2 linked regions of the Stegostoma tigrinum genome follow. The protein of the gene in region 1 purifies or fractionates together with the protein of each later gene. This does not show direct contact. Links are inferred from orthologs where the notes say so. Each region holds a gene or a part of one and is shown in the gene's direction. Other genes may lie near its edges.

Region 1 (3,921 bases):
GATAAATTAGAGCAACTGCACTTACTACATTCTATAAAGTCAAGGAAGAAAGGGGATATGTGGAGATAAGATCACTGATTCTATTCTCTCCTCCTTATCCAGTGGAGATTATTGTAAAATGATTTCAGTATTTTAAACCGAATGGATTTTAACCTATCACTAAATTCAGCAAATTCATTGCATTCAAGCATTTTCTACTCTGCTCTGTCCTATCCTGACGGATAAATCATGTAAGTTCCAGCAATCATCCAGCATTTAGACAATGAATCTTCTTTGTCTTTGATCGTAGACAATTACTGTGGTCAGGGTATCCAAAAGTGAGTGGAGAAGTAGTAGAGTCAGTCTGTATTCTATCTTAATTCACATCTCTAGTTTCAGGAAGGATTGAGAGAAAATGATCAGGAATGTCAACCCTTTCTTATATTTTTCCTTTCTAATTCAAAGATACTAAGGCCATTGTTTCCAAACAATTTTGACCCTTTATGTGCAGCTCTTTAACTGAGATAGAAATTGAAAGTTCAGGCACAACTGAAAACAATTATTCATTGTAAATTATAGGAGAGATCATGTTCAAACTCAACTTTTCTTGATAAAATTGGAAGATACCCTCTAATGATGATAGCCCTTCAGTCCATTTGATCTCTGTAGAAGTCCTATCTCTGTTCTGATAGACATTACACTGTGAAACAACAGCAAAAGTTAGAACATTGAAATAAAAAACAAAATGCTGCAAATACTCAAAAGGTCTGACGGCATCTGTAGGAACAGAGTTAACTGTCAAGTCAAAAAATACTTATTCATAACTGATAGCAGTAGAATGTGATTGTTATATGGCATTGAAATGTGGGAGGGGTTAATGTAGAAACATGTCTGGGATAGGGCCAAAGATGGGAGAAATTGACTAACAAAATGCCTTGGAGCAAAAGGCAAAGGGAGTGGTTCTAGTAAGGGAAAGTGTTTTGTCCAGAGTAAGCACTAATGCCAGATTTAAAATTTAAACAAAGCCAAACAGATTCTACATGCTGATTTATCAGCACTCTCCACTCATATAATATGTATGTTTATTCTATTAATTTGGTATTCTTGTTTTATAGTGATAGCATCCCTACCTCTGAGTCAGAAGGCCTGGGTTCCAGTTCCACCTGCTTCAGGGCTCTGTAATAACATCTCCAAACAGGTTGATTAAAAACATTTAAATTGGCATTCTTACGAACTGTCCTGCTGAGTGCAAAACAAAAAAATTTTTGACAAAATGTGACTTTTCCAACAATATTACCGTCCTAATTGTCTTTTCTTTCAGGTCATTTTTTCACTCTCATCTGCCTTATCCCAAACCTTCCCTTCTGTCGTTGCTCCCCATTTCAATGGCAAAGAATTGACATCTTACTCAAAACGTAACTGTTTCTTTCTCCATGGATGTTGCCCAGTCTGCTGAATAGTTCATCATTCCTGGTTTTATTGAACAAATAGTGCTGGGAAGACGGTCACCTTGTTATTTGGGAAAGGACAAAAATTGCAAACGTGTATTTCACAAGTGCTCTCTGGCACTGAACTCTGCGTCTGCGTCTGCTTCTGGAGGACTATAGTAGACCCCCAGCGGGCAGGTGGCGCTGTTGCTCCGATGACGGACTGTGTAGGACGCTCTTGCCGCCAGTTGAAGCTCCTTGTTGGGGGGTGGGGGAAACATGGCGGCGGCAATGAGGCAGGAGTTGGCGGTGTTGATGAACTCCAGTGGCTCTCACAAGGATCTGGCCGGCAAGTGAGTGAAACGGGGAGACTGGGCGAGCGTGTAGAGGCGGCGGGCGGACTCCCCTTCCCCCACCCCCGGCAGCTGTCGGAGCTTTGCCGCCTGTGGGCTGACACTCAGCCGGAGCCCAGCCTGAGGAGCGGTTCCTATGACAGAGAGACTCCCCGCCCCCTGCTTTCTCCAGGCTGATGTCCAACTGTCTCGGCTCTGTCCCGGGGCACCATAGGGTTGTTTGTTTCAGCCTTGATGAGTAAAATTGTCTCTCCTCTTGCTACAATCTACGTGAGGTTTAAAAATCTGTTTTACGTTTGATTGAGGGAGTCACATTCATATCAGCTTTTAGTAAAACGTCCATTTCAGAATCATTTCGAGATGGTAAGAACTGCCTATGCTGGAATCAGAGATAAACACGGCCATTTCTGAGGAAGGGTCCCGACCCGAAACGTCAACTTTCCTGCTGCTCTGATGCTGCCTGGTCTGCTGTGTTCCTCCAGCTCCACACTGTGTTATATAATAATCATTGTTACTTATTAGACATTTATTGCTAAAATGATCGACCACAGAAATTTTCATTTCCTCCGTTCATGGATTCCAAATTTAAGGGTCTCCCCACCCTGTGCTGCAGAGACATCAAACTGTATCGATCGTGGTCATGCCAGATCCGATCTGCAGTCTGTGATGCGACAACAATTGTTGTGAGGGCAGTAGTTGGGTACCCAGTGAGGATTCATAGTGCTAAAGTGTCATACCCTGTACCGTCAAATCTCCTGCAAACCTACAGTGTTACATCAAGAATGACCAATCACGCAAGGTACCCGAGGGCTACTTGTGGCTATGGGACTTATCCCTGAGCTGTTGAATTTACCGGTATAAAATACAAGTGCTGTTGTTGACCACTATTTGTCACGTGGTCACAGCCTCTGTACACTGACGTGAGTGTGATTGGTATGCTCTTTAATTATGCACGAAGAGTGCAATTTTATGTTTTCATTCAAAATTTTTGGTCCTAAGGAAAGGTACAAGTACAGCTGGACAAAAAAAATGGTAAATACAACACTGAGATAACAAAGTGTGGAGCTGGATGAACATGGTAGGCCAAGCAGCATCTTAGGAGCTCAAAAGCTGATGTTTCAGGCCTAGACTCCTCTTCAGAAGAGGGGGAGAGGGAGAGGGGGAGGTGGATCAAAGGTGGATAGAGGAGAAGATGGGTGGCGAGGAGACGGACAAGTTCAAAGGACAGAGATGGAGCCTGTAGAGGCGAGTATAGGTGGGGAAGTAGGGAAGAGGTAGGTCAGTTTGGGGAGGATGGGCAGGTCAAGGGGGCGGGATGAGGTTAGTGGATAGGAAATGGAGGTGCGGCTTGAGGTGGGAGGAGGGGATAGATGAGAGGAAGAACAAGTTAGGGTGGCGGGGATGAGCTGGCCTGGTTTTGGGATGCACTGAGGGGAGGGGAGGGGAGATTTTGAAGCTTGTGAAATCCACATTGATAGCATTGGGCTGCAGGGTTTCCAATTGGAATGTGAGTTGCTGTTCCTGCAACCTCCGGGTGGCATCGTTGTGGCACTGCAGGATGCCCAGGATGGATACGTCGTCTGAGGAATGGAAGGGGTAGTTGAAATGATTCGTGACTGGGACGTGCAGTTGTTTATTGCGAACTGAGCGTAGGTGTTCTGCAAAGCGGTTTCCCCAATGTAGAGGAGGCCACAACGGGTACAGCAGATGCAGTACACCTCATTAGCAGATGTGTAGGTGAACATCTGCTTGATGTGCACAGTCTTCTTGGGGCCTGATATGGGGGTGAGGGAGGAGGTGTGGGGGCAGGTGTAGCACTTCCTGTGGTTGCAGGGAAAAGTGCCAGGTGTGGTGGGGTTGGAGGGGCGTGTGGAGCGGATAAGGGAATCATGGAGAGAGTGGTCCCTGCGGAAAGCAGACAAAGGTGGGGAAGGAAAAATGCCTTCGGTGGTGGGGTCAGATTGCAGATGGCAAAAGTGTTGATGGATGATGCATTGGATCCGCAGGTTGGGTTGGTACATGAGGACGAGGGGGATTCTTTTTTGGATGTTATTACGGGGATGGGGTGTGAGGGATAAGTTGCGGAAACGTGGTAGGCACAGTCGAGGGTGTTCTCGACCACTGCGGGGGGGATGTTGCAGCCCTTGAAAAACAAGGATCTC
Region 2 (3,921 bases), on another chromosome or scaffold:
TGAAGAAATGTCTCCTCATTTCCGTTTTAAATTTACCCCCTCTAATTCTAGGGCTGTGCCCACGGGTCCTAGTCTCCCCGCCTAACGGAAACAACTTCCCAGCATCCACCTTTTCTAATCCACATCCAGACTGTATAAATGAAATACTCATGCTTAAGTACACTCCATAAAATCCCACCCTCAGTTATCCATCATGGCCCAATGCGTCTCACACCACCACTCTTGGCTTTATGTGATAGTGCTGATTTGCTCAAGCGACTGAACTCTGCTGCAACCTCTGAATACAAATTTTCAATTGATGGAAATTTACTTCCTGTTAGGTGGAAATTTCAGAGAAAAGGAGGGTCAGCAAGTTGTCAAGTGTGGCAGTAAATCCTTCACACACAGAATATTCATCCATTAACCAGCTCAGTGCAAAATAACTGATGTAACTCTCATGAGTTTTGGTGAAAAAAGGATACGTCAAATGAAGCAGTACGCAAGAAGAGCAGCTCCTTAGATAAGCAAAGAGAAAGGCAGCACCTCAATGAAAGTGGATGGGGAGTAAGGAGGTAAAACGTGACTCTGGGCTGGGGGCAAGGGAGACAGACTGATATGACTTATGAGCTTACAACAAAGGAAACATTCAAAATAAGTCTATTGTATATGTTGCTTGACTGCTCAGACGTTAGCATAATGTCAATGTTGCTTAGACTTAACACTTCAAATTGTGCTCATGTAACAACTTTAATGTCTGTTTTTTTTCTCTTTTATCTACAGCAAACTTCAACATAATTAGGGTCATCGGCTATGATCTGTGAATGATAATTTCAACGGTATTTTGACCAGGATAAGAGCTTGACAAACTTAAATAAAAGGTAAACACAAAATACAGATTTATCAATTTATCCTTGGAAATAACTGGAGGATTTCAAACACTGTATAAGCCATTCAAACCGGTCAGAAAAATGTTTATGATTTGTTTCGAACAAATTTGAGATTTGATTTAAAACTCAATAAAGTAAGTTTCAATCCTAATAACTAAGGCCGGGATTTTAATACGCTACTTTTCAGAAAATAACAATCAGTTCACATCCATCAACATCTAATGGGCAGATGCAAGATTTTAGAGCCAGTTCCAAAGACCTCCACAATTCAGCGAGAAAGTTTAAACGTTTGGAGAGTCTCACTGAGAGTAATAATAAACACCGAAACGCAGCTGCTGCCCCGAGACGGTCCCAGATATTCTACTGCACGTTTTAAAGGCAGTTTGGAAAACGTTCCGCCGGTTTGTTAAATCCGAGAAAAGAGGAGGGCCAGCGGGCAAGTTGCGCCCGATACGTACCTTTATCCAGCTCCATCAGAGCAGAGTTGGCGTCCATTTCCTGCTCTCCATAACCACCTTCCGACAAAAACGGCCTAGCTGCTGCCAGCGCCATGATTAAACACCTACTCTAACCGCAGGGAACCAACCGTCTTCTCCCAGTAATGCACCGGGAGCGGAGGTAACAGCGGGACGACAAACTTCCGCATGGCGGCCAATCAGCGCGTGTGACGTCAATTTGGCGGGAGGTTGCAGAGCGCGGGAGTTGTGTTGAATTCAGTCGCCGGGAGTTTTAAGATGTTGTTCCATTCTGTGCTCAGTAGCAGAATTTGTAACAGAACGCGAGGTGAGAAACTACTCCAAGGTTATAAAAGGATTGTGTGCGCCTTTCTTTAAAGACATCACGGTTGTGATGTATTTGTGAAACATTACGTAGTATTGCTTGTTTAAGGTTTATTCATCAGAATGCTGTGCTCAGTGTTTTATTTCGCCAAAACTAATCTCAATCTTCGTAGCTGTAAGTAATCATTTAAAAATAGAAATTTGTCTAAGTTTTGTTATTTGAAGTGCAAATCAATCAAGTGACTCTATAATTGTATTGAAATGCGAAATTCCTGCAGGAAGTTTTATTGTTTTGGTCTCAGCTACACGAATTTTCGAAGAGAACAGCTATTTCGTCTACTATACGCATCACTGTCGTTGTCATTAACATGTTGGTAGGCTTCTAAATCTTACGAGAAAGCACGAATATAGAGCTACTTGACTGGATATTCTAAAAGGAGTTCAATTAAGGCTGTGGTTGAATGCTTTTTGAACGGGGCACAACAACATTTTTTAAATTGGGTGTTAGATATTTCTCGTATTGATAAAAGTTTTTTTATTTACAAAAAGAGGTATCAAATTGTAATAATTACTGCTCACCTGCCACACATTGCCTTTCAATTTACGATTTATATCGCGCTTGTTAGTTTAATGGTGCAGAGTGAAGTTGGATACAAAATCCCTCTCTGTCTCTCCCTCTCTCATATATATCTATCTCTATATATATATATATATATGTATATATATATATAGCTCTACCTCCCCCTCTATATACCTCCATTTCTCCCTCTCTGTCTTGCTCCCTCGCGTGCGCGCTCTTTATATCTGCCCCCCCCTCTGTATCTCTCTGCCCCCCCCCCCTTGCAATTCACATCAAGCAGATCTGCTAATGTGGTACATGTATCCGTTGTTCCCGTTGTGGCCTCCTCTACATCGGGGGAAACCAAGTGGAGGCTTGGGAACCATTTCGCAGAACACCTACACTCGGTTCGCACCAAACAACTGCAGCTCCCAGTCGCGAACCATTTTAACTCTCCCTCCCATTCCTCAGACGACATGTCCATCATGGGCCTCTTGCAGTGCAACAACGATGCTACCCAAAGGTTGCAGGAACAGCGACTCATATTCCGCTTGGGAACCCTGCAGCCCAACCATATAAATATGGACTTTACAAGCTTCAAAATCTCCCCTCCCCCTACCTCATCCCAAAACCGCCCAGCTCGTCCCTGCCTCCCTAACCTGTCTTTCCTCCCACCTACCCCCCCCCCCCCCCCACCACCACCACCACCACCACCACCACCACCACCTCAAGCCCCAACCCCATTTCCTACTTGCTAGCCTCATCCCACCCCCTTGACCTGCCTGTTCTCCCTGGACTGACCTATTTCCTTCCTACCTCTCCACCTACACTCACCTTTACTGGCTCCATCCCCGCCTCTTTGACATGTCTGTCTCCTCTCCACCTATCCTCTCTATCCATCTTCTATCTGCCTCCCCCCGTTTCCATATTTCTGAAGAAGGGTCTAGGTCCGAAATGTCAGCCTTCCTCCTCCTCTGCTGCTTGGCCTGCTGTGTTCGTCCAGCTCTATGCCTTCTAGGTGCATGCATGGTTAAATGTCTCAAATCATTCTGAATGATGAATGATCGCTTTTTTGTTAAAATGATGAAACAAATAAAAATTATACCCTATTCATGTGGATATCTCTTTATGGAATTTACTTATCTTAAAATTTCCTTTTGGTTGCCATTTTTCTTAGCCTGCACAGCAATGAAACATTGCTGTAAATTTGTATGCATGGAATATCTTATACAAAAGACAAGTTGCAGTCACTGCAGAGTTTTTTTTTTATTGTCAGTTGCTTGTCTGTTAGTTTCAACAAAATTTTATCTTTTTGTGTTTAGAGTCTCACAGCTACTCGTTAGAGACTCTGCTGCAGTATTACCAATGTAATCGGCGAGATGAACACACTTCATACGGTGACCTTGGGGCAGCAGTACCTCCATTTGGCTGCTTGTGGTCTACAGGTAAATTGACCTCTCCAGTGCTTGACTGAACTTCTTGCACACTTACTGTGTCTCTCTAATTTTAATTAGTTAAAAGCATACATTAGTTTGGAATCATGAAGTTACAAATTTGATTGCCACATTCGTGAAGTTACAGCCTGATTATCCAGAGCAAATAAGTGGTGCCTATGAAATAAATATTGTCCTCCTCAGTGATACTGAGGAACAACATGTGGACCAGTTGGATATTAAAAGTTCTGGGTGTGAGTTTGCTCGCTGAACTGGAAGGTTCG

Evidence for each region.
Region 2: the proteins of cops4 (region 1) and dtl purify together in Homo sapiens (affinity purification with mass spectrometry; 3 studies listed by BioGRID). This does not show direct contact. The link is inferred for Stegostoma tigrinum from reciprocal best matches to the Homo sapiens genes COPS4 and DTL.

The regions. Positions count from the first base shown.
Region 1 is NC_081354.1:77,491,868-77,495,788, reverse strand, and holds the start of cops4 (COP9 signalosome complex subunit 4), read left to right. Parts: upstream 1-1,634; 5' UTR 1,635-1,685; coding exon 1,686-1,759; intron 1,760-3,921. UniProt on the Homo sapiens protein: Component of the COP9 signalosome complex (CSN), a complex involved in various cellular and developmental processes.
Region 2 is NC_081362.1:54,599,725-54,603,645, forward strand, and holds the start of dtl (denticleless protein homolog), read left to right. Parts: upstream 1-1,556; 5' UTR 1,557-1,600; coding exon 1,601-1,649; intron 1,650-3,526; coding exon 3,527-3,649; intron 3,650-3,921. Other genes in the region: ints7 (integrator complex subunit 7), read right to left, coding at 1,325-1,418. UniProt on the Homo sapiens protein: Substrate-specific adapter of a DCX (DDB1-CUL4-X-box) E3 ubiquitin-protein ligase complex required for cell cycle control, DNA damage response and translesion DNA synthesis.